Linked DNA regions of Pelodiscus sinensis. The protein of the gene in region 1 purifies or fractionates together with the protein of each later gene. This does not show direct contact. Links are inferred from orthologs where the notes say so. Each region holds a gene or a part of one and is shown on either strand. Other genes may lie near its edges.

What was found.
Region 2: the proteins of FAM98A (region 1) and ATXN2L purify together in Homo sapiens (co-immunoprecipitation; 3 studies listed by BioGRID and IntAct, with this or other methods). This does not show direct contact. The link is inferred for Pelodiscus sinensis from reciprocal best matches to the Homo sapiens genes FAM98A and ATXN2L.

Annotation. Positions count from the first base shown.
Region 1 is NC_134713.1:139,027,714-139,042,715, reverse strand, and holds the start of FAM98A (protein FAM98A), read left to right. Parts: upstream 1-7,961; 5' UTR 7,962-9,668; coding exon 9,669-9,775; exon of another isoform or gene 9,776-9,860; intron 9,861-10,054; coding exon 10,055-10,160; intron 10,161-10,375; coding exon 10,376-10,404; intron 10,405-13,988; coding exon 13,989-14,137; intron 14,138-15,002. UniProt on the Homo sapiens protein: Positively stimulates PRMT1-induced protein arginine methylation. Involved in skeletal homeostasis. Positively regulates lysosome peripheral distribution and ruffled border formation in osteoclasts.
Region 2 is NW_027465989.1:86,212-101,704, forward strand, and holds the start of ATXN2L (ataxin-2-like protein), read left to right. Parts: upstream 1-8,507; 5' UTR 8,508-8,648; coding exon 8,649-8,830; intron 8,831-12,979; coding exon 12,980-13,016; intron 13,017-14,057; coding exon 14,058-14,129; intron 14,130-14,505; coding exon 14,506-14,562; intron 14,563-15,429; coding exon 15,430-15,493. UniProt on the Homo sapiens protein: Involved in the regulation of stress granule and P-body formation.

The DNA.
Region 1 (15,002 bases):
CCAGCGCTGACTACAGGAAGCCCGAGGCACAGTTGCTCTGCCCCGGGCTTCCTGGAATCAGCTGCTGATCAGTTTCAGCAGCAGCTGACTTGGGGACGCCTGGGGTTCTTAAGTTGATTCTGTATGTAAGTCAGAACTGGCAGTCAGTTTCAGCAGCGGCTGAATCTGGACGCCAGTTCCGACTTACATACAGATTCAACTTAAGAACAAACCTACAGTCCCTATCTTGTACGTAACCCGGGGACTGCCTGTACTCCCTAGTAAATATTCATCCTAGAGCATGGTACAACTGATACTTTGTTCAGAGTGCGGGGTATTAGGATTGAGGTTTACTAAGGTTTACATTGCAACAGAAGGAGGTGTTGGAAGAGCAGGATGAAGGTATGTTGGTGGATCTGTGGGGGGAGCTTGTGTGTGTCCTTTCACTTGTGTGAAATGGCATACCTTTTTGTGTTGTGCTGTGGTTTACAGATAATACATTTAATGGGCCATATACTGTACTGATCCCCTCTGCTTGTAGAGCTCTAGAGCTCTGACTTGGAAGTAAGAAGTCCTAGGTCGCCTTTGGATTCTTGACTCCAGAGTTTTAAGGGGAGGGTTGAGCTTGAGACGGATTTTGTGTGTGGTGGCTGAATGGTACCATACTTTATTACCTCTCCTTCTTGACATGGTATGTGAACATTTTATATGAGGTAGGAAGCTGCCTTTCATTGAATAAGTTTTTGGTTCTAGCCATCTGCTGACAAGGTGGAATAAGTAAAGCTCTCTGGAGTGAATAATATTGAATACATGCGCGCGCACACAAACCCTTTCAGTCACAAGTTTCTTGTAAATTCAAAGAGCAATGTTTGAATGACACTTATTGACAAGATTCTGCATGTTTCATTGTGCCATACTGGAACGCAGCAGAAATGAATAAGCCTTACCGTAGTGAATTTAGATCAAGTTTACTGCAAGATAGATGGAGCTTTACTAAGCTGCAATGTAACCAAAGGAATTGTGTGAAAATTGCTGGCCTTATCCTTAGTGCTTACCAACGAGCCTAATATTGGACATCTGTCATCTAGCAATGTGTATGGGAAGAGGTAACCCTTTTCAAATCTGAAATTACTTGAATTATTTTGTTAAATTAAGTTTGACTTCCTTGATATAACGCAATACAAGCGGACAAGTACAGCTCTTCTAAGGATAAATTTTGTCTAACCTGTAACAATTCTTTGAAAGGGTTAACTAAATAATGACAATTTTTTATTTAGATTTTTTTAAAACTTCTGAAAAAATTCCTGTCAACCACCTTCAGCCATGAATTCTTCCTGACCACATTTGTGTTTCATTGATAAAGGTAGGTAGCAGTGAGCTGAGAGACTCAAGGTTTTGATATAGATTAAAAAATAGTTAAGGGTTAGTCAAAAAATAAGTGTCCAGTTTTCAGAATAGAAAGGGCCTTAAAGGAAGCCCCACAGATAAGTTCTAGAATTGGTAATTAATATTTTAATTTAAGGAAATTAAGGGTGACTAGAGAGGTGGCAAAGTATGCTTATGAAATATTAGGTTCCTCAAGCCTATGGAGTTTTGAGGAACTTCACAAGTACTGATTAGCCAGAGTCTGTGTAACCCAATGCAACATAAGGCATGTTAAGACAATTTAAACTTAACATGTACAGTGTATGAGTTGTGAATTAATGGTAACGCCACAAAAAAAAGCTAGGTATTGTACTCCAGCAAATGTGCACATTTAGCATGTCATTCATACGTGTTTTGCTTGGGGGGGAGTAAAGACTAAAGTGTGGAATAGGCACTAGTTCAGCACTTAATGCACTGCTGAAATGGTGACCAGTGCTTTCATCTGGAGAGCCAAACATATTTCAAAAAAGTGAAGGCTCAAACCAGTACTCTGGATCTTTATCCTATTCTACCTTCTTTGCCCTGTTCAAATAGCACAAGGGGAGCAGAAACCACCCATGAGTCCCCAGCAGCCCCAGACATGACATAGCTCCTTTGTGGTCCCTGCACCCTGGTACCAGAGGTGCATATTGCATTCCAACTATCTCCAGCTGACTGACCCATTGTAGCCCCTAAGGTGCTGTAAGTCATGTTGAGAATTGTACAAAGATCAGTTTGTATGTTTTGTGATCTAAACTGGTCCACTGAGGTAAGGAAGGAATTTCACACCCCATTTGTCATTGGTGTACTGTGTGAGAATTACACCTTCCTCGAAGCATCACACACTGGCCGCTTGGAAACAGAATACAGAACTAGACAACTCGTCTATTATAATGTAACAATTATTTAATAAGATCTAGATATTATTGTGTTCTTAGGTACAAAATGACAAGTACAGCTCCTGTCACAGCTGATCCCCATTCCAGATCCCTGGAAGGACACACGGGTCTATATCCTGCCTCAGGTTTGTAAAGTAACCCAAGGGTTAGCATCCTAGATTAAGTAACATAAGAAACCAATCCACAGTTTATTTTCCCTAGTAAAACTTAACTCAGCAGTCACCTGTTTACTGATGTTGGCACAATCTATGATTGTGTCTAGATCAGTTTGGTCAATTTGGCTGTTTTCATTCTGCCCTGTGTCTACCTACCTTTTTCCACATGGCATCAGGAGAACTGTATGCCAGAAAATATTGATGTGGCTGGAAAGAAAAGCAAAGGGGGCTACAGGTTTGTGACTGATACAGACAAAGAGTTATTCCGCACATCTATCTGGGATGGCCACCCAGTTTGTGCTTCTCGGGCAGGCCCTTTCCCTTTCCCCGCTTTTTGTTAATTTCTACAGGAGTGAAACAGATGTTATCTGGAGCTGTTTGACTACTGAAATCCTACTCTGAGAAGGTGGGTATAGAATTGCATGCTTTATACAGTCCTTATTTTCCTTTCTCTCTGATGAGAGCACCCATTGGGGCATAAGGTCTCAGACTGGATGAATGTACTGTTGTAAAAACAGCCTATTGATTAGCATTGAGGCCTTTACCCCCAAGTCTTAAGATGTGCTGTACAAGGCCTACTTCAGAGTGTGTGTGTGTGTGTGTGTATATATATATGCTCTTTTGGTGACACCCAAGAAGATGTGTATATGTTGACACTGCTCTTTTTGCTATTAAACAATATATTAAATATTAAACAGTTTAAGTGAAGTTACTCTGGACCTTGTGTGTTTATTTTAAAACCTATTTTCAGCAAAGGATTTTTGAAAAAAACTTATTTAATGCAGAAACAAAAAACAGGACTATGTAGCACTTTAAAGACTAACAAGATGGTTTAATAGGTGATGAGCTTTCGTGGGCCAGACCCACTTCCTCAGATCAAATAGTGGAAGAAAATTGTCACAACCATATATACCAAAGAATACAATTAAAAAAATGAACACATATGAAAAGGACAAATCACATTTCAGAACAGAAGGGGGATGGGGGGGAGGGAAGGTAAATGTCTGTGAGCTAATGATATTAGAGGTGATAATTGGGGAAGCTATCTTTGTAATGGGTAAGCTAATTAGAGTCTTTATTCAAACGTAAGTGTAAAGTGTCGAATTTAAGCATGACTGACATTGGACAAACGTCTCAGACACTTCGCCAAAGGATCAATGCCCACAAAACAGATATCAGACAGGATCACAAAGAAAAAACAGTTTCTTGCCATTTCAACCAGAAAGGACATCGTCTCAACGACTTGATTACCTGCATCCTGCTTCAAAGACCTTTTAAGACTTCACTTGAAAGAGAATCCTCTGAACTGTCATTCATGCTTAAATTTGACACTTTACACTCAAGTTTGAATAAAGACGCTAATTATCTTACCCATTACAAAGATAGCTTCCCCAATTATCACCTCTAATATCATTAGCTCACAGACATTTCCCTACCCCCTCACCCCCCTTCTGTTCTGAAATTTGATTTGTCCTTTTCATATGTGTTCATTTTTTTAATTGTATCCTTTGGTATATATGGTTGTGACAATTTTCTTCCACTATTTGATCTGAAGAAGTGGGTCTTGCCCACGAAAGCTCATCATCTAATAAACCATCTTGTTAGTCTTTAAAGTGCTACATAGTCCTGTTTTTTGTTTTAGCTATACCAGACTAACACGGCTACATTTCTATCATTATTTCATGCAGGTTATTTTAAGGCAATATTAAGAACCGTGTCTGTTTCAGGGGCCGGGGAATACAAAAGCTGCTTCACTCCTGTTGCCTCCAGGCACTTTTGCTTGTGTGGTGAACAGAATTTAACAATGGTGTGTATGTATGCTGTGGAAGGACTGGTGATCCCAGTAGGCTTGACCCAAGCCCTGGCTGGGATGATTTAGTTGGGATTGGTCCTGCTTTGGGCAGGGGGCTAGACTTTATGACCTCCTGAGGTCTCTTCCAGCCCTATGATTCTATGATGGGGAGGGGATATTTCAAATGCTTACCTTTCCACAATTCTTGGGTATTTTCAGTGCAATGTGAAAATTACACTTATGCTTAAATTCCTATATAATTTTACTCTTATGTGCTCTCAGCATTTGTTTGAGGTTATTTCACCTGCCTATCAGAGGGGTGCAGTTGCTTTCCACTCCTTCTTTCCCCCAAAAAAAGTCTCGTAATGAAAGCATCTTCATCTCTGGCTTGCAAGCACATAGAAGAATAGAACAGACTGAGAGAGAAGTTTTTTATTAAATAGATTAGTCATAAGTGGTGTTTATCCCAGATAATATTGCATAGGCGCTTGCCTTACATTGCGTGCATTTATAATACAAGCTAGGCTAGTCCTGTTGTGAGAAGAAATAGCTGATCTGCATGGGGAAAAAATGGTGGAAAAAATGTCCTCTAAAGTAACACTTGGGCATGAGCCATACTCAGTCCCCTTACCTCTTTACAAAATCTATATATTGAATTACCAAGGATGTTCCTGCTTCTGCTCCACAGATGATGAATTTCCCGGTCTCCTTTGTTAATTTGTTACTTCAGAAGTTGAGGACTGGCTCAATGTGACCACACCACAGAAGCCCTGAAGTCTTTTCTATCTGGTTAATATTGGCATAATCCAGTGATGGGCTCAAAGAGCAACAGCTGCTCTGTTTTATCTGTAGGAAGTAGATTCTGCTATCTTCACTGCATGTGTCATGTGATTGTAGATCATGTAATGAGGATCCACTATGTCCATTTTCATCAGAGATGGTCAATATGTGGTCTGCCTGATGTAGTTGTGGACCTCAAGACAATACAGATTCTGCAGAATGTCAGTTTTTAAAAAGAACAGTACAGGTTAACCCTCTAATCCAGCACCCTCAGGACCTAACTGGTGCTGACCCAGAGAATTTGCTGCACCAGGGGAAGTCAATGTTGTCTAGCTGCTTTACCAACACTTCCACTGCTTACTGGGCTCTTAGAATACATTTGGGGTAAATTAGAGCTAAATAATAGCACAGAACAGAGAAAGCCAGGACTGGTAGCTGTAAACAAATGTTATGGGACCATGGGAAACTTGGCTACATCGATGATGATTGAAGATCCAGCTCACACCTGATCATGTGCCCAAAGGGAGAATGGAACATCCAGCCATGTTGGGGATGGGAATGGAGGGACAATGGTAGGGGAAGGGCATAGGAGACACACAGCCACTGACATATAGAAGAGGGAAAAATGGGGGCTGCTTTATAGCCCTTAGCATGAGAGATGGGGAGGGTTGCAAAGAGTCCTTGAAATAGAGGGAGCTAGGATGGTAGTGCTTGGGGGGATGGGAAGAGGGAAATGGAGGGATCTAAGGAACTGATACGTGAAATGAACTCACCCTACCTAAACTACAAAATATAGTAGAACATAATTAAAAATGGAATTTGGCTGTCTTACTGAATGAATTTAACAACTTGACCTTTGATTCGTTCTCTTCCAACATCACTTGCTGGGACTTGTCCGGGTCAGTGCTGAACTTTTGCCTGCTCCTTCAGATGCCACAGGAAGCCATGTTAACATTTGAAAGGCAGTGCTAGTCCTGTCCTGCTCAATTCCAGTCAGACTTTAGATGATGGGCAAAATTTTCAAAAGCAGTTAAGTGATTTAGGAGCCTATGTTCCATTTTCATAAGTGACTTAGGCACTAAAGAGCATACATCTCATTGACTTAACTTTTGAAAATGTCACATCCTCTCTGCACTGTGTTCATTAAGTTGTCAATAAGCCTTTTGTATTTATCACCTTTGTGTCTAACTTGGGAACAGCTAAATACTGCCCATAGGCTGCATCTGGGCCACTGACCCGGCCCACAGGAGCCGCTGCCAGGCTCCCTCCCTGCCTGCTCTGCCCTGCTGCTCAGAGCAGCTCTCTGAATGCTGAGAGGCCCCCTGACTCCAGCACAGTCTTGCAGCTTCCATTGACTTGTTTCTGGCCAATAGGAGCTGCCTGTTTGCAGGCCAGGAAGTGCATAAGTGCCCCACCTCCATCAGGATTGCAGCATTCAGAGTCACATGTGGCCCTTGCAACCAGTACAGGGGCATGGAAGGCAGGGACCCTGGCTGAGGAACCAGTTGGGCTGCTGGTTGGGAGCTGCCCAGGTAAGTACCTTCCAGACCTCCCTCCCTCTAACCCTGCTGCCTTATGTAACCCAAACGCACAGCACCACTGCTCCTGCACCCTAATCCTCTACTCCTGGTCACAACCCAAATCCCTGCACCCCTCTCCTGCACTCCTATTCCAGGTCACAACCCCTTGCCAGACCCTGCATTCCCTTCTACACCCCTCCTCCAGGTCAATCCTCTCCTGCACCCATACCTGCTCCGTGACCCTGCACCCGTCTCCCGCTCCAGGTCAACTCCCTCTACCCAAACTCCTTTCCAGATCCCACAGCCCCTCTTGCACCCTAATCCCTTTATCCTAAAATCCCTTTTGCACCCAACCTTTATCCCAGACCCTGCACCTCCATTAATATGGAAGAATGTGGCTCTTGACCACCAACCAAATTCTTTTCCAATTTTTTTCATAAAAAAAGTCCCCCCTTGCTAAGTGCTAGTTTATATTGCTCTTAATACTATGAGTAAGATCAGTTTGTGCCCTTAATAAATGGGTGCAATGAATCTAATTATTAATATCTGTACAGCAGACTCCCTTTCATAGCAATGTTCATGTGCTCTGTGACATGCTGAAACTAAAGACTGTAGCAAGGTACATAGATTCTGCTGCATTTTGGTGCAGCTGGCTGGAAAAGCTGCAGCAGCTTCAGGCATGTTCAAAAATGGAAGTTTTGATTAAGAAAAGGAGTAAGAACCACTACAGTGGAAATACAGATTTTAAGTATGCTCAAAGTCACCATGTTCAGAATGAATGAATTAGGAAAAGTGTGAAGGTGGTACTAATTATAGAAACCAAAAGGACTCTAGACTTAGATGATTTAAGCATGTGAAAAGATTAGAAAAATGTATAAGAAACAGGATGTTTCACTTTAAAAGTGGAGGGCAAGAAGGATTGGTAGACCCAAAACTGAATTGATGCTTTAAGACAAAGTGGAATAGAGAAGGACTTGAAGAATCAATCCCATATGAGACCTAGACTAGAAGTAGTAGTAAGAACTCACTACACCATGTTCCCTTGTGCTACTTAGTTTGATATTCTGTGTAATCCCTGTTAGGGGGTTCACAGCTGGGATTTAAGGCACCAGGGAGGCTGTGTGGGATTGTGAGAAACACTTTAGTTTGTTAAAATGATCAGTATTTTTTACAATCAATGTTGATATTTAAAATGTGACTGCTGTGGATAACAACAGATAAAAGCTGAGGCAGTTAAATCTCAGATTGGATGTTTCAAACTACCTGTAAACACAGTTATCCCTCTCTTGGTCACACCTGCTTCACTGTTTGTGTTTGCAACCACAAGGGCTTAGAACCTTTAAAAGCTAAAGCTTAGAGCAGGGGTGGCAAAAAATCAGTCAGGCCCCACGAGAGAGAAGCAAAAACAAAAAAACACCCAAACCCACCCTCACTGCCCTGGCACCCGAATGAGGAGAAAGATATTCCCCTCACACACAAAAACCTTAGGGAGCCTAGGCTAGTAGATTTTGTGTGCTCTGGCCCTTGAACCTTAGGTTCCCCAACCCCTGCCTTAGAGTGAGTCAGATGAAAGTGGCAGAAGCAGATGGTAGCCTTGGAAGGGGTTCATGCACATTTATATGATTCCAAGGCTACTCACTTTTCCTATGACCCATTCCTTCCATTGTTCTGTGACTTCTGGTCAGCTTTTACATTTGTCTGTATTAACAGTACTTAAATACAGGGTCCTACATTTATACATGCACATGCACCACTAAATTCACAGCACAGTACTGGCTTCATGACATGTTTTTGATTTTTTTACTACCTAACATTGCTGCCTCCTTCCACAAGCTGCCCTTTGGGGATTTATGGACTCACTGTGTGACTGCCTGCAGGATGGCAACACCCAGCCCAATAATACAGAAGACAGGAGGAGTTTTTCCTCCCTCTGCTACCATTCTGAATCCTTATGCACATATATACTTTTCCCTTTGAGGATGTTGGCTGGAACCACACAACTCAGATCCTGCCTTTACCTTGACTAAAAGATAAAATTGTGTTAGAACATGACCTGGAGAAACGATGTTAGTTAACACAGTATCATTTGCTATGGGGCAAGGGCCCCTTCCCTTTATTGGAAGTCACCCCCCATTTCACAGATCTAAACACTCTTCCATGTTCCAACAGCCTCACATGGAAATGTGACTGATTTGCATAAACCTACACAGGGTGTGTCTCCCCAGCATCTGAAACTCAAAATAAGATAAGCAATTTGCGCTACACAAATTGCGTAGCTTATTTCGAGTATTTCAAAATTGCTCATTTCATCATTTGCCCCTGTCTACTGCGCCAAATTTCAAAATACAGCGCTATTTCAAGCCATCCCTTACTCATACAATGAGGTTTTACAGGGATGGCGAAATAGCGGACACGTTCAAAGGACATGGGGTAGCTACCTCTGGTATCCCAAAAAAACGTTGCCGTGTAGACAAACCCCCAGGGACAAAGGAGGGAGACCCTCCGAGTTCCATTTTCTCTCCAAATCCCTCCACCTTAAATTCATCACACGAGCCTGCAGCTGCATTTCATTGCAAACGTCCTGCCTCCGTCTTACACAAGCCTGAGGGGAAGAGCCACTTCACACGGTCTGCTCTCCAAAATCCCACGAGTCTCCTTGAACCCTGCAGCCTACGGGGCCGTGCCGCGCGCGAGAAGAGTTGCAGGAGGAAACTGGCTCTAGCCTGCTCCCGCGCCTTTGGTAAAAAGGAAAGAGCAGCGCGGAAAAGCCCGGCAGCACGTGCCCAGGCGGAACATGGTGCCACGCGCCTTCTCCTCTGTCTTATTTATTAAAGAACCCGTTGTTCTAGCGGAACTCAACAGCCGCTAGGTTCTACCTAGAACTTTGCATGCTGGGACTTATAGTCCTGGCCACGCTAGCGTAGCGGCCGCTATCTGCTGAAGTTTGTCCCTTTCCCCACCCCGTCTCCCTCCGTTCCTTTAACTTCGCTGTCTCCAGCGGGCCAGGCCCGCCACATTCCAACGTGGGTTCCACAAGAGGGGTCCTTCCTCTCAGGGCTGCCCACTCGCTGCCCGACAAAAATATTTTTCTTCAAGGGGTCGTTTCTGCGACTGAAACAAAACTCGGAAGTTTAAAACGATGTCCCCAGTCACGCTGAAGGAGGAACTCGAGAGGAGCGGAGAGGTTACAAGACCACAAGGCGGGGATGCGAGTGAGGCACCGCGCGGGGCAGCTCCCGCTGCTGGGTGAGAGGTCAGGCTGGGGGCCTATTCCCTTCCCCTCCTCCTGACATGCCAACCCGGCAGTCGGCTTGGTAGCTGCTTGCGCAGAGTGCGTGCGGGCCGCCCCGTCGGGCAGGGGAGGGCGCAGGCCCGGAGGGGGGGATGACGGGGCGGGGGTGATCCCCGGCCTGGGCAGGGAGCGGTGGCGGGGCTGAGGAGCCCCGGGGCTGCCGCTGAGCGGGGTGGGGGGCCGGGCCCGGCCGGCACTGGCGCGCTGGTGACTGACTCTGCTTTGCTGTGCAGGTGCCAGCTTGATCCCTCGCGAGGAAACGGGCCGCTGGGTGCCAGGGCGGAGGATGGAGCTCGAGCTCATGGAGAGCGACATCCTGGAGTCGTTGGAGGATCTAGGGTAGGTGTCCTCTCAGGGGTACACCCGGGGCCAGCTCCCCCCCCCCTCCCGGAGTCCCCAGCCAGAGCTGCGGGTGGGAAGGTGGATCTGTCTCGGGGTAGGTGACTTGACCGTTTTCATGAGGGGGATCGAAGCTGAAAACTCCTTGTGCTCGTGTTTCTCTGTTAGCTCGGGGTGGCCAACGTGACACCCGCCTTTTGTTCCCTCTTCCACAGCCGCTTCTGAGGATCTCCTCCAGTGGCAGGTGGGACTTTCAACGGAAAATCTTTATTCTAGGAGAAACCTGACATTACAGGTTTTGAAATGTACAAGAAGCAGGCCTGAAAGACTTTCTTTCTTATTACAGCATGTCTATTGTATTGCCAGGGCTATGGCGTTCTGTCTGTTGATGATATATGGTGCTCTCATAGAATCCAGATAGCTGAGGAATGGTCTATATTGGGAACTTCATCATCACTACATCTTTCAGGGGTGTGAAAAATCTACACTTGTGAGAGACAGAGCTATACACTCCTAACCTCTGATGTAAAATTCTTCCTTCATTTTAGCAACCACCTCTTGGCCAGGTGGGTTGCCTATGCTGATAAGAAAATCCCTTTCATTTGCCCCAGATAGTATGTACAGTGAAACATTTTGAGGAACAGCTGTAGTGTCTTGCAGTGCCTTGCAATTGTTATATGCGTATCCTAGCAGTGTCACTTAGTGTTGAGAGAGTACTGTTGCATTCATTTTACAGATGGGGAACTGAGTCACAGAAAGACTGTGACTCAAGGTGTCATAGGAAGTCTGTGGCAGAGCAGAGAATGTAACATTTGGTTTCCATGGACAATCCTTCATTTGTAATTGAATGGTTAACAAAAGATGTCTTACTACAAAGTGTTCATTAGGTACTGAAGTCAAATAGATGTCAACAAAAACAAATACACCAAACAACTTTAAGTCTCTGATTAAAATTCCCTTCTGCTTTCATTGCCTTGATTCTTGTGATTTCATCTCTTAACTAATTTATTGACCGTCATGTGCTTTCAGGCAGATTGGGGGGTAGAGGAGAGAGAAGCAGGAAGAAAACAAAGGTTTAAGCTTTGTATATTATATAGAAGAGTAAAAAGACACAAGCCAATTTTTTTCTTTTTCAGGTTATTTTTATGACACAGCGAGCCAAATTCCTTATTCAGGGAAGTACGCTAATTTAACTTTCAATGTCAATAGAAGGTTGCACAGATATAATGAAGGGCAGAATTTGTCCAAGTGTGCTTTTGTTAATCCATCTGGACTAAACAAAAATGGTATCAAACTGTGGATTACAAGAGGTGCAACAGAAGTACAGCAGCCAGAGCAGAGACATTACTGTAGGGAAGAGAAGCAGAAGCATGTGTGTTGTGGAGCATGCAGAAGAGCTGCAGAAGTGGAGCTAGGTTATGAGGGAGATGTTATCTGGAATGGCATTCTTAGGGAAGGGAGAATTGGTGAGTGTGTCAGAAAGAGGGGTTTTTACTTGACAAATTACTTAACCCTCAATCCTGCAAAGACTTACTTTGTGCCCTGAGAGTAACACCACAAATCTTTGCAGGATGGAAGCCCTTATATGCTAGTAGAGACATCTGTCATCTTTAATATCTATCAAGAGTTGTCTGCACCAATTGTGTCAAAGTGGACTCAATCATTTGAGGTTTTACTTCAAGATATCAGGGTCCAGTTGGTTTTGAGGTTTCTTTGATCTCTTTTCAAGATGGATATAGTACATCAAAGCAATCTAGCATGTTTTATATTTACCAGAGTACACGCCATAATCTGTACTTTTATAAATAGTAAATACTTCTAAAACAGTAAATAACTAGAATGCACTGCATTTAGAGTTAGTATGTGCAACACCCATTGTAGAATTGTGGGTGTTGATGCCAGGACTGAATTTGGCCCATAATTCTCCTCATGGAGACAACTTTTCACTTCCTTAATGTCCATTCAACAGAAAATTTTGTTTCACTACTTATCTGTATCCAGTGTTTCCATTTTGCATTGTCTAGCAACCCAGTCAAAATATGAAAGCAAATGGCATGTGGCAGTAAATAAACAAAAAGGTAATAGTCAGGCACCAGTTACTTAATTTATTATGAAGTAATAATTCCAGAGAGGTACTTTAGAACTGCAGAAAGAATAGATCAGTAAACTTAACATCTATGATAAGTTGCACTCCATATTTACGTAGCATTGTTCAGAATAAAAACATTTTGAATCCTTACACGTTTGCTTAACTCAAATGTTTTTATGGTCCTGTTTCCCCATAATTAAACTCCTGAATTTGTGTGACATTTCCTAGTATCTTCAACACTTCAGATATAATAGTGATACTCCTCACATTTGCATGTAGATGTTAAAAAAATCAGTAGCAGAATTCATTCATAATAGACTGTCAGGCCTTGATTTACAGGGGGTTATGATTTTTATATAAAAAAAGGTGTAAATAGAAATTGTGTTTTAAAAAAAAAAATAAAACAAGAATCTATAAGAAATAAGGTTTTAGGTTCTGGGCTCTCAAGAGGATATCCCTAACTTACACAATACAGTGCTATAGGTGTCAAAATGGTTTTTAAATGAAATTTAAATTTGCTGCAGTACAGGTAATGTCCTAACTTTTGCTGATGTTGAGGATGAACTTGATATACTACTAGCATTATGATCATATTGTTGAAGGTAGAACTAGGAGTATCTATCTTGGAGCAGTGGGGTGGGCCCTGATTTTGGGTGGTTGGGCAATGACAGGTGTGGGAGAGGAGGCAGGAAGGATCCGGGCTGCTTCCACTCAACCTCTGTAGTTGGACTTGTGGGTGGGCCATGAATAGGGTGGGCCATGAATAATCTGTCAAGAAGCCTCCCCAGGCACACATCTTGGGCAGGGGTTTGGGGCACTGGCACCTATTCCACTGCACCCAACCACCCGGTGCTCCTGCCGGAGAGTGGAGTTAAGGGCTTGCCTGGCTCTGTCTGCTGGGCACTTTAGATGGGTAATAGTGACTAGGGCTCACCCAGCTTTGCCTGATGTTCTAGCTAGGGAGCAGGGTCAAGGGCTTGTCCCACTCTGCCTGCCTGCCTGCCTGCCCAGCACTCCTGCCAGGAGGCTGGTGATGGGAATTTGCCCCACCCTGCTTGCGTGGGTGCGGAGGCTTTCCCGCTCCCTGGCTGGAATCCCATTTGCCCTGACCCCACCCCTTGGCAGGAACGCTGGGCAGAGTGGTGCATGCCCTGTACCTGCTCTTGGGCTGGAGAGCTGGGTGGGTGGAGCTGTGCAAATCACCAACCTTGTTCCTTGACAGAAGTGCTGGGCAGAGCAGGGCAAGCTCGTTCCATGGCTGAAGCACTGGGCACAGTGGGGCTAGCCCCCGATCCCACTCCTTGGCCAAACCCCTGACCCCGCATCCCGGCAGGAGCTCTGGGTGGGCAGAGCATGGCAAGCCTCTGTGCCCCAGCCCTGCTCTCTAGCTGGAGGACCAGACGGAGCCAGGCAAGCTTCCAACCCTGGGGCTGCAGGGCACCTGGCCAGAGTTTCTCCCAAGGCCAGCAGCAAGGGGTGAATGGAAATCTGCCTCCATCCTGCCTGCCTTCCTTCCCCCACCTCTGTCATTGCCTGCCCACACAAGTGTTGTCTGGTTATGCCACTGATTTGTGCATCTTGGCAACTGCGCTACTTTGTGTTAGTGAATTTTTACCATGTACAGAAATGAAGGGTTACAGTTAATTGACCATGTATAACTGAAACAGCAAAAAAACTCACGTAAATCGAGGCCTGACTGTACACATGTAATAAGTGGTACTTTTAATTTTGCCTGCCAGTTACAAAGGTCCATTGTTAGAAGATGGAGCACTTACTCAAGCAGTCTCTGGTGGAGCCGGTTCCCCTGAATTTACCAAACTCTGTGCTTGGCTGGTGTCTGAGTTAAGGTTATACTGTAAACTAGAAGAAAATGTGCAAGCAACTAACAGTAAGTAATCACAGCCTTGAGAACAAAATTGTGCAGTTAAAAAAACTTTTTTTTTTTAAGGTGTGTGCGCTATAGATTTGGGCTGACACTTAAGTCAATTGTGCCACAGACTACTGTCTGCATCCTGTCAGTTTGTGGATATTTTCCATTAGGGATGTGAAATCTCGTTTTATTAGTTAACTGGTTAAACGTTATGTTAACCAATTAAACTGGGGGAAGGTGGAATGCTGTCTCTTGTGGATGGGCAGCAGCTGCTGCAGGTGGGGGGTGCTCCAAGTCCCCCAACACTTGTGGCAGGCCCCGTGGGGTTGGAGCAGGCCCTGGCCTGTGACAGATGTGGGGGGTGCTCCAGGCCCTGCCAGTGAACCATAACCAGTAAGCATCACCCAGTAAGGGTGATGTTTACTGGTTGATCATTCACATCCCTATTTTCCACCTATTTTTTTTCAAGCTGACTTGGTGTGCATCCAGCAGAGTTCATTATTGAGATGAATTTTCTACTGAAGTTCGTTTTCCCTTTTAACTAATATTTCACACAGATGTGTGTGTTCAGTTCTTGAATATGTTTTTATTTTTTGTGGAAACAGTTTTATCAATTTCAAAATAACTTTTTTATAACTCTTTGAGGATCCAATATATTAAATGACTAGAATATTTACCCAGCCTTGCTCGGATCCTTAACTCACGTAAGGTTTTTTTTTCTTCATTTAAATCACTGTTCTGGGGTGGGGCTGGATATGAGAGAGGACAAACCCAGCCATCTCTCCCTGCAGCAGCTTGGGTCCAGGTGAGAAGTGCCTGTTCATGGTTGCTGCAGTGGGTACACCCAGGAGAGGGGTGCAGAAGGAGTGCATGTCCTCCAGCT
Region 2 (15,493 bases), on another chromosome or scaffold:
TGCCGTGCGCCTGGGGCCGGCGCCCCCCCCCCAAGCGCCGCGCACCTGGGGCGCAACCGGCCAATTCGCGGTGCTCCTGGGGCCAGCGCTTACCATGCGCCCGGGCCGTCTCCGGCCCCGATGAATGCACCACGTGCCCGGGGCCAGGCCAGCCCCGAGCACTTGCTGGGCGCACACAAATGGGCCCGCAGGCACCGTGTTGGGGACCACTGGTCTAGTCGTAGCCTCTGAGTCCAGCCCCCTGCCCAAAGCAGGACCAGCCCCACCTAAATCATCATATGAGAGAAATAAAAATGGTAAAATGCACAGACCCAGTCTAAACCCTAACATAGTACACTTGGAAAGAAGCAAAAGATGTAATTACACCACCACCAGGCTACATCTAGACTGGCATGATTTTCCAGAAATGCTTTTAACGGAAAAGTTTTCCGTTAAAAGCATTTTTGGAACAGAGCATCTAGATTGGCACGGACGCTTTTCTGCAAAAGCACTTTTTGCGGAAAAGCATCCGTGCCAATCTAGACGCGCTTTTCTGCAAAAAAGCCCCGATCGCCATTTTTGCGTTCGGGGCTTTTTTGCAGAAAACAAATCTGAGCTATCTACACTGGCCCTTTTGTGCAAAAGTTTTGCTCAAAAGGACTTTTGCCCGAACGGGAGCAGCACAGTATTTCTGCAAGAACACTGACAATCTTACATGAGATCGTCAGTGCTTTTGCAGAAATTCAAGCGGCCAGTGTAGACAGCTGGCAAGTTTTTCTGGAAAAGCGGCTGATTTTCCGGAAAAACTGGCCAGTCTAGACACAGCCCCAGTGTGTGCTGTGTCAGAAGGTGAATGTGAATGGCAGCATGTTGGTGTGAGGCACAGATGCTGTGTGAGAACAAGAGAGATTCACACTGTGCCTTTAAGTGTACTGAGCATGTTCAGATATAGGAGCAGATGCCAGCAAGCCCCCTTCACCCTGATCTAGGGATGTCAATGGGGAACCGGGAACTGGAGCCCTGGAGCAGCCTGCCATGGGCAGAGATCTGCTCCAGCCCCACCAGGCCCCACTGCCACATAGAGCTGGGAGTGAGCAGAGCCATGGGCAGAGGTCTGCTCCAGCTCCCCTGGGCCCCCCTGCCACACGGGTCCAGGAGTCAGCAAAGCTACGTGCTGGAATCTTGTTTAATTGGTTAAGCAGGTAAACTTAATTTTTAACTGGTTAGCTGATTAAATGGGACTTTACACCCCTATCCCAAGCCCTGTCACGCCCCCCTCTCAGTGGAGATGGCATATGGAGTGGTCAGGGGGACACCTTGACATCAGTGGCTCCCTGCTTTGCTTCTCCCACCCTGCACATCCAACTGGAGGCTCCTGGGGGCAGCTCCAAGGCAGAGGGCAGGCATGCCAGTGGGGGAAGAGGTACTGAGGTGCTGGCACTTGAAAGCCTGCCAGCCAAACCGGTCAGGATTAGGAATCATAGAACTGGAATGTAGAATACCCTTTAATCAGTGAACTGGCTGAACGTTATGTTTAACTGGTTAACCACTCAAATAGGGGAGGCCGCTTCCGGCCACCAGTTAATTGTAGCAACTAATCATCACCCGGTAACCAGGGTTAGACAAACCCTGGCAAGAGCCACTCGCCAGCCCCGCACTGCGCATGCGCGAAGCGCCCGTGAATGGGGCTCACAGTGCGACCAGCTGAAATCTACTCACCACGGGCGAGTGGATTCAGGGTTTGTCGAGCCCTGCTGGTAACTATTCACATACCTAGTTAGGGTCACCTGTCAGAGGCTCCAGGAACTACTATTAGATCCCGATCTACTAGTTGAGAACCACTGCCTTACAGTAACAGACTCCAAGAACTAACTCTTATTAACATAACAAAGAGGGTGACTTTTTCAGTCTGTATTTGCTTATATGGGGAACAGAAATTTAAGAGAGAGCTTTTCAATTGGCAATGAAGATGCCATGAATGGAAACTGAAGTGAGGCCTTGTCTACACTGCAGACTTTTGTTTTGTTGTTATTTTGATTTTCCCAAAGGCAGCTTTTTCGTGTCAAACCAAAGGAGATGTACACTCTGCAGTGCCCCTTTTGGTGACAAAATAATTCACTTGAAGAGAGGCATGGGGCTTTTTATGCAAAAGTTGTGTTGCTACAGTGTCAATGTAGACCCCTCCTTTGCTTTTATCTCATTGCCTCCAGAAAGTGTTCTACCACGCCCATCCTGACTGCACTGCCCTGCAGCTGCCCACTTCGCCTCCTCCTTTGAAGCCCTGGGCATTTTTGGAAATTCCACTTCTTTGCTCCCATCCCATTGTCTCAACAGACCATGGCACCTCCATTCAGCAAACGCTCTCTGGCATGGACCGCATTTGGAGCGAGGAGGCTGTGCAGCCCCAGCCACGCGCCATACCTAGAGGGCTAAGATCAGGACATGCTGCAGTGCAGAGCAGAGTTCTGGTCCACATGCCTCAGCTCCTAGAGGGCAAGGGAGCTGAGCCACGGCCCTGGTGCAGCCGTCTTCATAAGGATTGGGTCGCTATCCTTGGCATCGATGCCACCTGTACTGCCTCGGCAGGGCTGGAGCCTGCAGAAAGTGGATGTAGGCCAGACAATGAAGTCACTGATGAAGAGGTGAAGGTAAATGACAATGTGGGACCCATAGTAAGGTCACCCAGTGCTGCATCTAGACAGGAGCTGTTCTCAACTCCAGAATCACAGAACTGGCTGGGCCCTCAAGTCCAGTCCCCTGCTCTCACAGCTAAGGATCTCAACGTGAAGTCAATTATACAATTAACCAATACGCCTAGGCTTATGGGTTCATCTTGTCAACTACACACATCCTCCCGCTTGCTACCTCTGTGGGGGGAGCAGGAGCCGGTGCCTGTGAGATGCTAGCTTAAAAGCAGCTCCCCATGAGCACCGGATCCACCTGGCCCCCCACCCGCCACGCTGCTGCCTCTGGTAGAGAGGCAGCAGCACAGAGGGTGAGGGGGCAGGCTAGAGTTGATATGTGTGGGCTCCCATTGACCCACATTCCCCCACCTTGCTGTCTCCTACAGAGGCAGTGAGGAGGGGCACGCAGAAGCCGGTGCTGCCTCCTGCCCTGCCGCTTGCATCAGAGGCAGCAGCACAGGGGGGGAAGGGGGCGGGGGAGGCTGCCATGAAGCAACGTCTGTCAGCGGGAGAGCCAAGCTTCCCATGGAGCAGCCTGTCTGTGGGGAGCTCAGACCCTCCATGGACGAGGCTGCTGCTCTGTATCAAGAGGCAGCAGTTCAGGGCAGCCGGTCTGCACAGGGAGCTGGTTTTTAAACTGGCTCCCCTCATGGACTGACTCCACCTGCCATCCCACACTGCTGCCCCTGTGGCAGGGGCTCCTGGGAGTGCACAGGCTGCTGGCCCCACCCACAGGGACTATCGAATAGTCGTGTAACCACAGTTACACTACATCTAACATCCCTACTCACAATCCAGATCGGGGCGGGGAACCTTTTTTGGGTTGGTGGCCACTGACCCTCAGAAAAAAAGCAGTCAAGGGCTGCACACAAGTTAGGGGAAAACCCCCTCATTGACGTGGCCACCCACTGGGAAGCAGAAAGATGTTCCCCACAGTCCCCTGTGCACTAGAGCCCAGAGGGCCCAACTAAGGATGTTCAAATGCGGTTATCAGGCTAATCGTATAGTTGATACAATTTGTATCAACTCCAGGAGCCACCTGCACTGCGGCTCTGCATTTTAAATGTAGTAAGAGCTGCTGGGCTCCTACTACATTTAAAATGCAAAGGCGGAGAGATCAGCACAAGCCAGGACTGGTTGGCCCCAGCTTGCACTGAGTCCAGCAGCCCCTGTTCATGATGGACAGCCCTGTCCGCTGCAAACCTCTGCCTGCGGCCAGCCCTGGTTGCTGCAAACAGGGGCTGCTTGGCAGCAACAGCCCCAGTCCACGGGGTGTCCAGCTCCCTGCTGGGACCTCTATGGATAGGGGCTGCTTTGCAGCAGCCTGCCCTATCTGCCCCCTTGCTGCCTCTCATAGGGAAGGGCGCAGCAGGGAGAGCAAGACCAGTGGGCCCTCAAGCTGTCCCCACTGACCCTGTGTTCCCACTTCAGCCTTTGAAATGTACAAGAGAGCTGCAGGAAGCAGGGGGCCAGCAAGACAGTCCCTGTTCTCCCTGTGGCACTTTCAGCGGTTGCACGGTTACCTGTTTAACCCACTTTTTACATCTCTCGTCAATAGTGTGACATGGCTGCAAAAATAAGCAGACATCACTCTGGGATACATTAATATGAGTGCTGTCAGCAAGACATGAGAAGTCATTCTTCTGCTCTACTCCATGCTGATTAGGCCTCAGTTGGGAGTACCGTGTCCGGTTCCAGGCACCATATTTCAGGAAAGATGTGCAAACATTGGGAAAAGGCAAAAGAAGAGCACCAAAAGTGATTAAAGGTCTGCAAAACCTGACCTATTCTGGAAGACTGAAAGAAATGGATTTGTTTAGTCCGGAAAAGAGAAATCTGAGAGGGGGCATGATAGTAGCTTTCAAGTACCTAAGAAGTTGTTAGACAAAGGAGGGAGAAAATGTATTCTCCTACACCTCTGATCATAGGACAAGAAGCAACTGGCTTAAATTTCAGAGAAGGAGATTTATGGGGGACATTAGGAAAAGTTTCCCGTCAAGGTGCTTAAGTGCTGGAATAAATTGCCTAGGGAGATTATGGAATCGCTATCATTAGACAAGCACCTGTCAGAGATGCTCTACATGGTGCTTGGTCCTGCCTGCAGGGGACTAGATTTGAAGACCTCTCCAGGGTCCTTCCAGTTCCATGACTTAGGTGTCCCTGTGCTGCTGGGCTGGGGTGAGCTCAGCACATTTCCCAGAAGATTACAGTGCGGGTGGTCTAGGTTGGATATTAGGGAAAACTATTTCCCTAGGACGGTGGTGAAGCACTGGAATGGGTTCCCTAGGGAGGTGGTGGCATCTCCATCCCTAGAGGTTAAGCCCCAGCTTGACAAAGCCCTGGCTGGGTTGATTTAGTTGGGATTGGTCCTGCTTTGGGCAGGGGGCTGGAATCATAGAATCATAGGGCTGGAAGAGACCTCAGAATGGACTTGATGATCTCCTGAGGTCTCTTCCAGCCCTATGATTTGAAGGTGTCTTTCCTCATCCAAAAGTTCTGCAGCTGAAAACATACATAACAACGTGACCCACCTGAGCCAAAAGTGACGTGCTCCATGGTGCGCAACTGTTCCCTGAATGCCCAAAGTGATCAAATGCCGCTTCTGCCAAACTCAGACGATGCCTCAGGCAACAGTGAATCCCATGAGGTTTGAAACTTCACCATTAGCTACAGGGCTGTTCAGTGCCGTGCTGCTGACAGTTATGCTAATACGGGAGAGCCGGGTGGGATCCTCTCTTGTACACAGCGATGGCAAGGGGAGCAGAAAACAAGGGATTTAGAAAAATGCTTAGCATGCCGGGACCATAGAGTCCAGACCCATGACGCCATCCGCTCTGCCTTCCCACAAGAGCTAACAGTGAAGGTGGAGAGCTACCCACACTGCAGTGCTCTCTGTTCATGCTGCTGCCCCAAGTGTGGAAGTGCTCTGCAGACAGAGGACAATGGGAACATGAAACACCACCTTTCTTTTAGGGCTTTTTGATCAGCAGCTACACTTTCAGTGAAGCAATTCGGGCAGAATAGATATACCTAGAAACAGGACGTGAAATGTTAACAAGGAGGGTAATTAATGACTGGGATAATTTCCCAAGGATTGTGGTGGATTCTCCTCCACTGACTGTTTAAAATCAAGATTGGATTTGTTCCTTAAAGATCTGATCTAGTTCAAATAGCCATTAACTCAAGGCTGCCTATACACTGGGACACAGAGGTCAGACCAGACAATTGAATCTGCCACCATCTCAATCCGCTCTACCTCTTCTCCTCTGCCCCCTCCCCAGCTCCACCCCTCCAGTTCCTCCCTCATCTGCCCCTCCCCAACTCCACCCCCTCCTGCTTCCTCCCTCCTCTGCCCCCTCCCCAACTCCACCCCCTCCTGCTTCCACCCTCCTCTGCCCCCTCCCCGATTCCACCCCCTCCTGCTTCCCCCCTCCTCTGCCCCCTCCCCGGCTCCACCCACTCCTGCTTCCCCCCTCCTCTGCCCCCTCCCCGGCTCCACCCCCTCCTGCTTCCTCCCTCCTCCGCCCCCTCCCCGGCTCCACCCCCTCCTGCTTCCCACCCTCTCCTGCTTCCCCCCTCCTCTGCCCCCTCTCCGGCTCCACCCCCTCCTGCTTCCCCCCTCCTCTGCCCCCTCCCCGGCTCCACCCCACCTGCTTCCTCCCTCATCTGCCCCCTCCCCGGCTCCGCCCCCTCCTGCTTCCCCCCTCCTCTGCCCCCTCCCCGGCTCCACCCCACCTGCTTCCTCCCTCATCTGCTCCCTCCCCGGCTCCACCCCCTCCTGCTTCCTCCTTCATCTGCCTCCTCTCCAACTCCACCCCTCCTGCTTCCTCCCTCCTCCGCCCCCTCCCCGGCTCCACGCCCTCCTGCTTCCTCCCTCCTCCGCCCCCTCTCCGGCTCCACCCCCTCCTGCTTCCTCCCTCCTCCGCCCCCTCCCCAGCTCCATCCCCCTCCTGATTACTCCCTCATCTTCCCCCTCCCCGGCTCCGCCCCCTCCTGCTTCCTCCCTCCTGTTCCCCCTCCCCGGCTCCGCCCCCTCCTGCTTCCTCCCTCCTCTGCCCCCTCCCCGGCTCCACCCCCTCCTGCTTCCCCCCTCCTCGGCTCCACCCCCTCCTGCTTCCCCCCTCCTCTGCCCCCTCCCCGGCTCCACCCCCTCCTGCTTCCCCCCTCCTCGGCTCCACCCCCTCCTGCTTCCTCCCTCCTCTGCCCCCTCCCCGGCTCCGCCCCCTCCTGCTTCCTCCCTCCTCTGCTCCCTCCCCGGCTCCACCCCCTCCTGCTTCCTCCCTCCTCCGCCCCGTCCCCACGCCCTCCTGCTTCCTCCCTCCTCCGCCCCCTCTCCAGCTCCACCCCCTCCTGCTTCCTCCCTCCCTGGCTCCACCCCTCCTGCTTCCTCCCTCCTCCGCCCCCTCCCTGGCTCCACGCCCTCCTGCTTCCTCCCTCCTCCGCCCCCTCCCCGGCTTCACGCCCTCCTGCTTCCTCCCTCCTCCGCCCCCTCCCCGGCTCCGCCCCCTCCTGCTTCCTCCCTCCTCCGCCCCCTCCCCGGCTCCACCCCCTCCTGCTTCCTCCCTCATCTTCCCCCTCCCCGGCTCCACCCCCTCCTGCTTCCTCCCTCCTCCGCCCCCTCCCCGGCTCCACCCCCTCCTGCTTCCTCCCTCATCTTCCCCCTCTCCGGCTCCACCCCCCTCCTGATTCCTCCCTCCTCCGCCCCCTCTCCGGCTCCACCCCCTCCTGCTTCCTCCCTCCTCCACCCCCCCCGGCTCCACCCCCTCCTGCTTCCTCCCTTCTCCGCCCCCTTCCCGGCTCCACCCCCTCCTGCTTCCTCCCTCATCTTCCCCCTCCCCGGCTCCACCCCCTCCTGCTTCCTCCCTCCTCTGCTCCCTCCCCGGCTCCACCCCCTCCTGCTTCCTCCCTCATCTTCCCCCTCCCCGGCTCCACCCCCCTCCTGCTTCCTCCCTCCTCCGCCCCCTCCCCAACTCCACCCCCTCCTGCTTCCACCCTCCTCTGCCCCCTCCCCGATTCCACCCCCTCCTGCTTCCCCCCTCCTCTGCCCCCTCCCCGGCTCCACCCCACCTGCTTCCTCCCTCATCTGCTCCCTCCCCGGCTCCACCCCCTCCTGCTTCCTCCTTCATCTGCCTCCTCTCCAACTCCACCCCTCCTGCTTCCTCCCTCCTCCACCCCCCCTGGCTCCACCCCCTCCTGCTTCCTCCCTCATCTTCCCCCTCCCCGGCTCCGCCCCCTCCTGCTTCCTCCCTCCTCCGCCCCCTCCCCGGCTCCGCCCCCTCCTGCTTCCTCTCCAGCTCTGTCCCCTCCCTGGGGACAGGGTGTGTACACGTCACGGTGGGGGCTGAGGCTGCGCAGGGCAAGAGCCGGGACTCATTTTTGTCCACTCTATAAGGCGCCCCTGGCGGAGGGATTCCGATGCGCTTGCGCTTTAAGTTTTCTCTGCCCCTCCCCGCCTCCGGCAAGTTCCCTCTCAAGGACGCGCATGCGCAGCGAGGGTCAGCTAGCGTGCGGCGGATAACACGCTCGGTGGGGGGGGCGCACGCGCAGAGGGAGTGCAGCTCTACGCATGCGCAGTAGAAAGCAGCCTGAAGGTTCCCTCCAACGCGTAGCGCCTCGGACGCTTCGTCTTCCCACGCATGCGCAACGCCCACCAACGGTCTTCTTACCCGGCGGAAGAATCTCAAAAAGTTCTCCACTCGTGTCATCACGTGGTTCGACTGATCACCGCGGTGCGGAGGTGCCCGGCTGGCGGTGCCGTCGGCGCAGGCGCAGTGAGCTGGCTTCCCCGCCGCGCTGCCCTTCTGCTCTCGGCTCAGCCAGGCTCATTGTGCGGAAGGAGCCAGGCCGCAGCGCGCTCCAGCCCGGCCGCCGGCGCCCCTCCCCCCGCCCCGCGCGCCAACCGCCGCCGCCTCGCGCCGCCGCTCGAGCCGCCTCGCGCGCGCGCGCCCGCCCGCCGGACTCCTCCGGGGCCGCGCCGGCGCCGCCATGTTGAAGCAGCCGCAGCCGCTGCCCCCGCAGCCCCCCCCGGGCGGCCCCGGGCCCCAGGCCGGGCCCCCGCCCGCCCGCAAGGCGCCGCCACCCGGCGCCCCCAGCCCCAACGGCAGCCTGAGCCCCAGCGCCGGGCCGGCCCGGGCCGCGGCCCCGACCGGGGGAGGCGGCGGCACCAGGTAACGGCGGGGCGGGGCCGGGGCCCTCGTGCGCGGCGGGGGGGCTGGGAGGGAGCGAGGGTCCCGTCACTGCGCGCGCGTCGCGGGGGGGGGGGGGCTCTAACAGCGCGAGCGCGGCGCTGATTGGTCGTTTGTACAGCCAATCCCCGCCCAGCGGCGCGCGAGAGCGAGACCCCGGCCCCTCCCCCGCCGTGGGACCCAGCGTCCGCCCCTCCCCCCCGCCACGGAACCCAGTGTCAGCTCCTCCCCCGCCGTGGGACCCAGCCTCCGCCCCTCCCCCTTCCCCCCCAGCCACGGAACCCAGTGTCAGCTCCTCCCCCGCCATGGGACCCAGCCACCGCCCCTCCCCCTTCCCCCCCAGCCACGGAACCCAGTGTCAGCTCCTCCCCCGCCGTGGGACCCAGCCTCCGCCCCTCCCCCTTCCCCCCCAGCCACGGAACCCAGTGTCAGCTCCTCCCCCGCCGTGGGGCCCAGCCTCCGCCCCTCCCCCTTCCCCCCCAGCCACGGAACCCAGTGTCAGCTCCTCCCCCGCCGTGGGACCCAGCCTCCGCCCCTCCCCCTTCCCCCCCAGCCACGGAACCCAGTGTCAGCTCCTCCCCCGCCGTGGGACCCAGCCTCCGCCCCTCCCCCTTCCCCCCAGCCACGGAACCCAGTGTCAGCTCCTCCCCCGCCGTGGGACCCAGCCTCCGCCCCTCCCCCTTCCCCCCCAGCCACGGAACCCAATGTCAGCTCCTCCCCCGCCGTGGGACCCAGCCTCCGCCCCTCCCCCTTCCCCCCCCAGCCACGGAACCCACTGTCAGCTCCTCCCCCGCCGTGGGACCCAGCCTCCGCCCCTCCCCCTTCCCCTCCCAGCCACGGAACCCAGTGTCAGCTCCTCCCCTGCCGTGGGACCCAGCCTCCGCCCCTCCCCCTTCCCCTCCCAGCCACGGAACCCAGTGTCAGCTCCTCTCCTGCCGTGGGACCCAGCGTCCGCCCCTCCCCCCCGCCACGGAACCCAGTGTCAGCTCCTCCCCCGCCGTGGGACCCAGCCTCCGCCCCTCCCCCTTCCCCCCCCCAGCCACGGAACCCAGTGTCAGCTCCTCCCCCGCCGTGGGACCCAGCCTCCGCCCCTCCCCCCCCGCCACGGAACCCAGTGTCAGCTCCTCCCCCGCCGTGGGACCCAGCCTCCGCCCCTCCCCCTTCCCCCCCCAGCCACGGAACCCAGTGTCAGCTCCTCCCCCGCCGTGGGACCCAGCGTCCGCCCCTCCCCCCCGCCACGGAACCCAGTGTCAGCTCCTCCCCCGCCGTGGGACCCAGCCTCCGCCCCTCCCCCTTTCCCCCCCAGCCACGGAACCCAGTGTCAGCTCCTCCCCCGCCGTGGGACCCAGCGTCCGCCCCTCCCCCCCGCCACGGAACCCAGTGTCAGCTCCTCCCCCGCCGTGGGACCCAGCCTCCGTCCCTCCCCCTTCCCCCCCAGCCACGGAACCCAGTGTCAGCTCCTCCCCCGCCGTGGGACCCAGCCTCCGCCCCTCCCCCTTCCCCCCCAGCCACGGAACCCAGTGTCAGCTCCTCCCCCGCCGTGGGGCCCAGCCTCCGCCCCTCCCCCTTCCCCCCCAGCCACAGAACCCAGTGTCAGCTCCTCCCCCGCCGTGGGACCCAGCCTCCGCCCCTCCCCCTTCCCCTCCCAGCCACGGAACCCAGTGTCAGCTCCTCTCCTGCCGTGGGACCCAGCGTCCGCCCCTCCCCCCCGCCACGGAACCCAGTGTCAGCTCCTCCCCCGCCGTGGGACCCAGCCTCCGCCCCTCCCCCTTCCCCCCCCAGCCACGGAACCCAGTGTCAGCTCCTCCCCCGCCGTGGGACCCAGCCTCCGCCCCTCCCCCCCCGCCACGGAACCCAGTGTCAGCTCCTCCCCCGCCGTGGGACCCAGCCTCCGCCCCTCCCCCTTTCCCCCCCAGCCACGGAACCCAGTGTCAGCTCCTCTCCTGCCGTGGGACCCAGCGTCCGCCCCTCCCCCCAGCCACGGAACCCAGTGTCAGCTCCTCCCCCGCCATGGGACCCAGCCTCCGCCCCTCCCCCTTCCCCCCAGCCACGGAACCCAGCGTCAGCTCCTCTCCTGCCGTGGGACCCAGCCTCCGCCCCTCCCCCTTCCCCCCCAGCCACGGAACCCAGTGTCCACTCCTCCCCCGCCGTGGGACCCAGCCTCCGCCCCTCCCCCTTCCCCCCCAGCCACGGAACCCAGTGTCCACTCCTCCTCTGCCATGGGACCCACTGTCCGCCCCTTCTCCCCCAGCCACGGAACCCAGTGTCCACTCCTCCTCTGCCATGGGACCCACTGTCCGCCCCTTCTCCCCCAGCCACGGTACCCAGTGTCCCATCCTGGGAACTCAGTGTCCGCCTTTTCCCTGCCGTGGGACCCAGCCTCCGCTCCTCTCCCTCCCTCCCCCCCAGCCACGGAACCCAGTGTCCACTCCTCCCCCGTCGTGGGACCCAGCCTCCGCCCCTCCCCCTTCCCGCCCCAGCCACGGAACCCAGAGTCCACTCCTCCCCCGCTGTGGGACCCAGCCACGGAACCCAGTATCCATTCCTCCCCCGCCATGGGACCCAGCGTCCGCCCCTCCCCCCCAGCCACGGAACCCAGTGTCCACTGCTCCCTTGCCGTGGGATCCAGCCTCCGCTCCTCCCCCTTTTACCCCCCAGGCACGGGACCCAGCATCTACTCCTTCCCCGCCGTGGGACCCAGCGTCCGCCCCTACCCCTTCCCCCCCCAGCCACGTAACCCAGAGTCCACTCCTCCCCCGCCGTGGGACCCAGCATCCGCCCCGTCCCTTCCCCCCCCCAGCCACAGAACCCAGCATCCACTCCTTCCCCGCCGTGGGACCCAGCATCCACCCCCTCTCCTCCCTCCTGCCATGGAAGCCAGCATCCGCCCCTCCCCTCCGCTGTGGAACCCAGTGTCTGCCCCTCTCCCTTCCCCCCCAGCCATGGAAACCCAGTGTCTTTCCCCCTAGCCATGGGACCCAGCATCTGCCCTTACCCCACCATGGGACCCAGGCGTCTGGCCTCCCAACCCCATCCTTCAGCCCCTGTCGTCCCTCCCAAACTCTAGGACCCAAGCATCTGGCCTCCTAGTTGCCCCTCACCCCCATCCCCACAGAGCCCGGACAGGACACACACATCCCCCCTCCATGAACCCTGGCTTCTGGTCTCCCAGCCCCACCTCCCCCACTCTGGAATTCAGGTGTCTGGCCTCCCCCCTTGCCTCTCCAGAGCCAGGATGGGCTCCCAGCAGCCCCTCCCACTCTCTCTGGCCACCACCCTGAGCTGGGACAGGACCCTGGTGTCCAGGCTTCTAGCATGTCCCCTCTCCTTGCCCACCCTACATCTCTTGCCCCTCCCAAAGATGAGCTAGAACCCAGGCATATAGGCTCCCTGCCCCCTACCCTCCACTCCCCAAGCAGAGCCAGACTAGATCCCAGGTGTCTAGGCTCCTAACCTTCCCCCCTTCCAGAAGCTCCCAGGCTCCTTCCAACCCAGATCTGGGCTTGAACTCCCATATCTGAGTTCCATGACCCCACTTCCACCCAGAGCTGGGATAGGACCCAGGTGTCCAGGCCTGGGATGTAATAATGTAGTTGATTAACTGATTACGTGTATTCCTCCCTCCTCCCCCACTTTGCCAGTACATTTTTTTAGCAGGCTGGCCAGCAGCCTGGCTCAGTCCTGGATTGTGACAGATCCAGGACCTACCCCTGCTGCGGCTCTGCATTTAAAGTGTATTAGGAGCTGGGTGGGCAGGCAGCCCAGTTTAATTCTGGCTCGCGCTGGGTCTGGAAGCTCAGCCCCTCCTCTGGACAGGGGCTGCTGCCACCGCACCCTGCTGCCTCTGGTTTTTATACTGGCTCCCCTCACAGACCAGTTCCTGCCTGGCACCAGCGAAGTGGCGGGGGGCTCCTTGGGAGTGGTGCCGGAGTGCACAGGCTGCTGGCCCCACTCCCAGGGACTATAGAATAGTCAAGTAACTGATAAGAATTCATGAGATCAATTAGCCGCTATTTAACATCTCTCGTCCGGGCTATCGGCCTGGTGAGCCCGGCCTAGTGGCTGGGCCTGGCTGTGGGGCCTGAGGCTATAGCAGTTCTGTAATCAGCACTCTCTGTGATTTGTTTTCAGGGGGCAGAGCACAGGGAAGGGGCCTCCCCAGTCTCCAGTAAGTACCTCAAGCTCTTTCTAAAGGGGGGAGGGGGAACCTCCTACTGGTCACAGGATCTCCCAGCCAAGCCAGGCTGTCAAGCTCTGTCTGTGGTACTGACTTCCTGATCAAGGGCTGCTTTTCTTCCGCCTCAGCCAGGGTGGCTGGACAGGCCCTTCCTCTTTCCTGAGAACATGGCCTGGGCTGAGGACAATTTGCACTGGACCCCATTCATTCCTTCCCCTGGGCTTCTGCTGGACTTGCTTTCTGCATCATGGTACCAGTGCAAGTGTCACTGTTTCCCAAAAATGTGCGCTAGAGATGCATGGGGCCCCCAGCATTCTGACCCTGTGGCCCAGGGGCTGTGTATGGCTCATAGCTGATTGTTGGTAGCACTAGCATCTCTTGGATCTGAAGGGACATCAGTATGACAAGGTCCTCAGTGAGCCAAGCCAGTTCCCCTGGCGCCTGGAGGTAGATCAGAATCAACACTCTTAAATGGTGCCGTTCCTCACCCCCTGAGCCTGCCAGTTCCTTTTCCTGAGGCCAGATTGGAGCTAGTGTCCCCTGGAAGGGGAAGGCCCATACCTCCTTCCCAGATACCCCTTAAGGCAATGTATTGCTCCAACCCAGGTCCAGATTGGGGTGAAAGGTCCCATTGTTTCCTCAGTCCCCAGTGTGCCTGTGCTTTTAAATTGGTCCCTCACTTTCACTCCTAGTGTGCTAGAAACACTTACCGCATCCCCACTGGCTTCTCATCCCTGGGGGGTGTTCTGCTCTGAGAAGCAGCTTTAAAAGAGGCACGTTATGCCTCAGGTTCATGGTCCTGATGACAGCCGATTTAGTCTGCACTCTTCTCAAGGCCAGACGTGTTCTCTGGCTCCCTGAAGATGGCTCTTCGGCTTTGACTATCACAGCAACAGACGCTACCTCAGCAGAGCTGTGCTGCAGGACTGGGCTGGGAGGTGGAGCGTGAGGCAGGGCTCATGGGAGTTGCCGTACTAGTGGGGAGAACAGAGTCGCCAGTGGGACTCTGACATCCAGCTGTCTCTCTCTCAGATCCACCTTGGAGGAGGTTTCCCTGCAATGCTGTCTCTTCCCTCTCACTGGGCCATGTGCTGGGGTTGCTGGGTGAGATTCTCTGGCTTGGGTTATGCAGGAGGCCAGACTGGACCATTCTGGCCTTAAGAACTGTGAATTCTTTAATTGGCTCCTTCTGGAAAGAGGGGGCAGGCTCACTCTGGGCCTGCCAGTGCCGATGGGGTTGGCATGAGCTCAGGGTGCCAAAATGTGGGGGTCGTTCAGGACCTAAGCCTGCGTCTCTGCACAGCAGCAGGTGGCTGGCCCTGGAGACATACCTCAAGCATGCCCTGTAACAATAGCACCACAGAGGTGATTGCTGGTAGCCCGGGCTCCGAGGGTGGCGCATCTAGGGGAAGCCGGGGAAATGCAGGAGGGATGCTCACTGCTCCTTGCTGATGGGCTCATCTTACTGTGTTAACGACAGGTATTTGAAGGTGTCTATAACAATTCTCGAATGCTGCATTTCCTGACGGCTGTCGTGGTAAGTGCTGTCAGTTCCGCTGTAATGCTGAGGGGTTGCTCACCGTGGTGCACTCAGAAGCAGGCTGTAATTTGGGAAAAGGGGGAGTGTTTAGCTTGGGAGGAGGGTGGTCATGCTATCCCCTCTGTCAGAAATTCCTGGTTCCCAGCAATGGCCTTTGAGTTGGGAAGCAGGGAGTGGGGTGGAGAGGGAGGAGTCTGGGGCATGGGGGCGGAAGGAGGGAAGAGAGGGAAATGTGGGGTATTTTCGGCCCAGGGGACTGGACCTGTGGGGGGAGAGGAAAGGATCAGCAGGCGTGTTGATGGCAGGGGCAGGAAGGAGAAGGAGCTGAAGGCTGGCACTGCAGTTTGGGTGTCAGTGCCAGCTGCTGCTATGCCTGTTGGATGTGTTCATCCCCAGAGCATGGAGGCCTGGTCGTTATGTGCCCAGTGGGACTGGGGAGAGGGCACTGGGTGCTGTGCATGCCCTGCTGTAGAAAGAGAATTGCTTGGAGGTGGTCTGGGAGCTTCCCAGCCAAAGATTTCACCTCATCCCCACCCACCCACCCACCCTGCAAGCAGCCCAGGCTTTGGCAGCTTTTGCATTCACAATAGGTCACATTGGTGTTTCCCCAGCGAAGTGGGGCTGGCTGAGCTAAGGGCACCCAGGAGCAGCCGTGAGTCCAGGTGCTCATGGCACAGTGTGTTGCTTCCTGGCGATCCCTTTTGGGTCTCCCCTCTCTCCCAGCCCAGGAGGGTGAGCAGGGCGACTCTGGGAGCTGCATGGGGGTTGGGAGTGGTGGGAGGCAGATTGTGCTCTGGGGAGGGGACCCTGGACCCTCTGGCTTGTGCTTTCCCAGCCAACGCTAATCTCTGGCTCTGTCCCCAGGGCTCCACGTGTGATGTGAAGGTGAAAAATGGCAGCACCTTTGAGGGGATTTTTAAAACCCTCA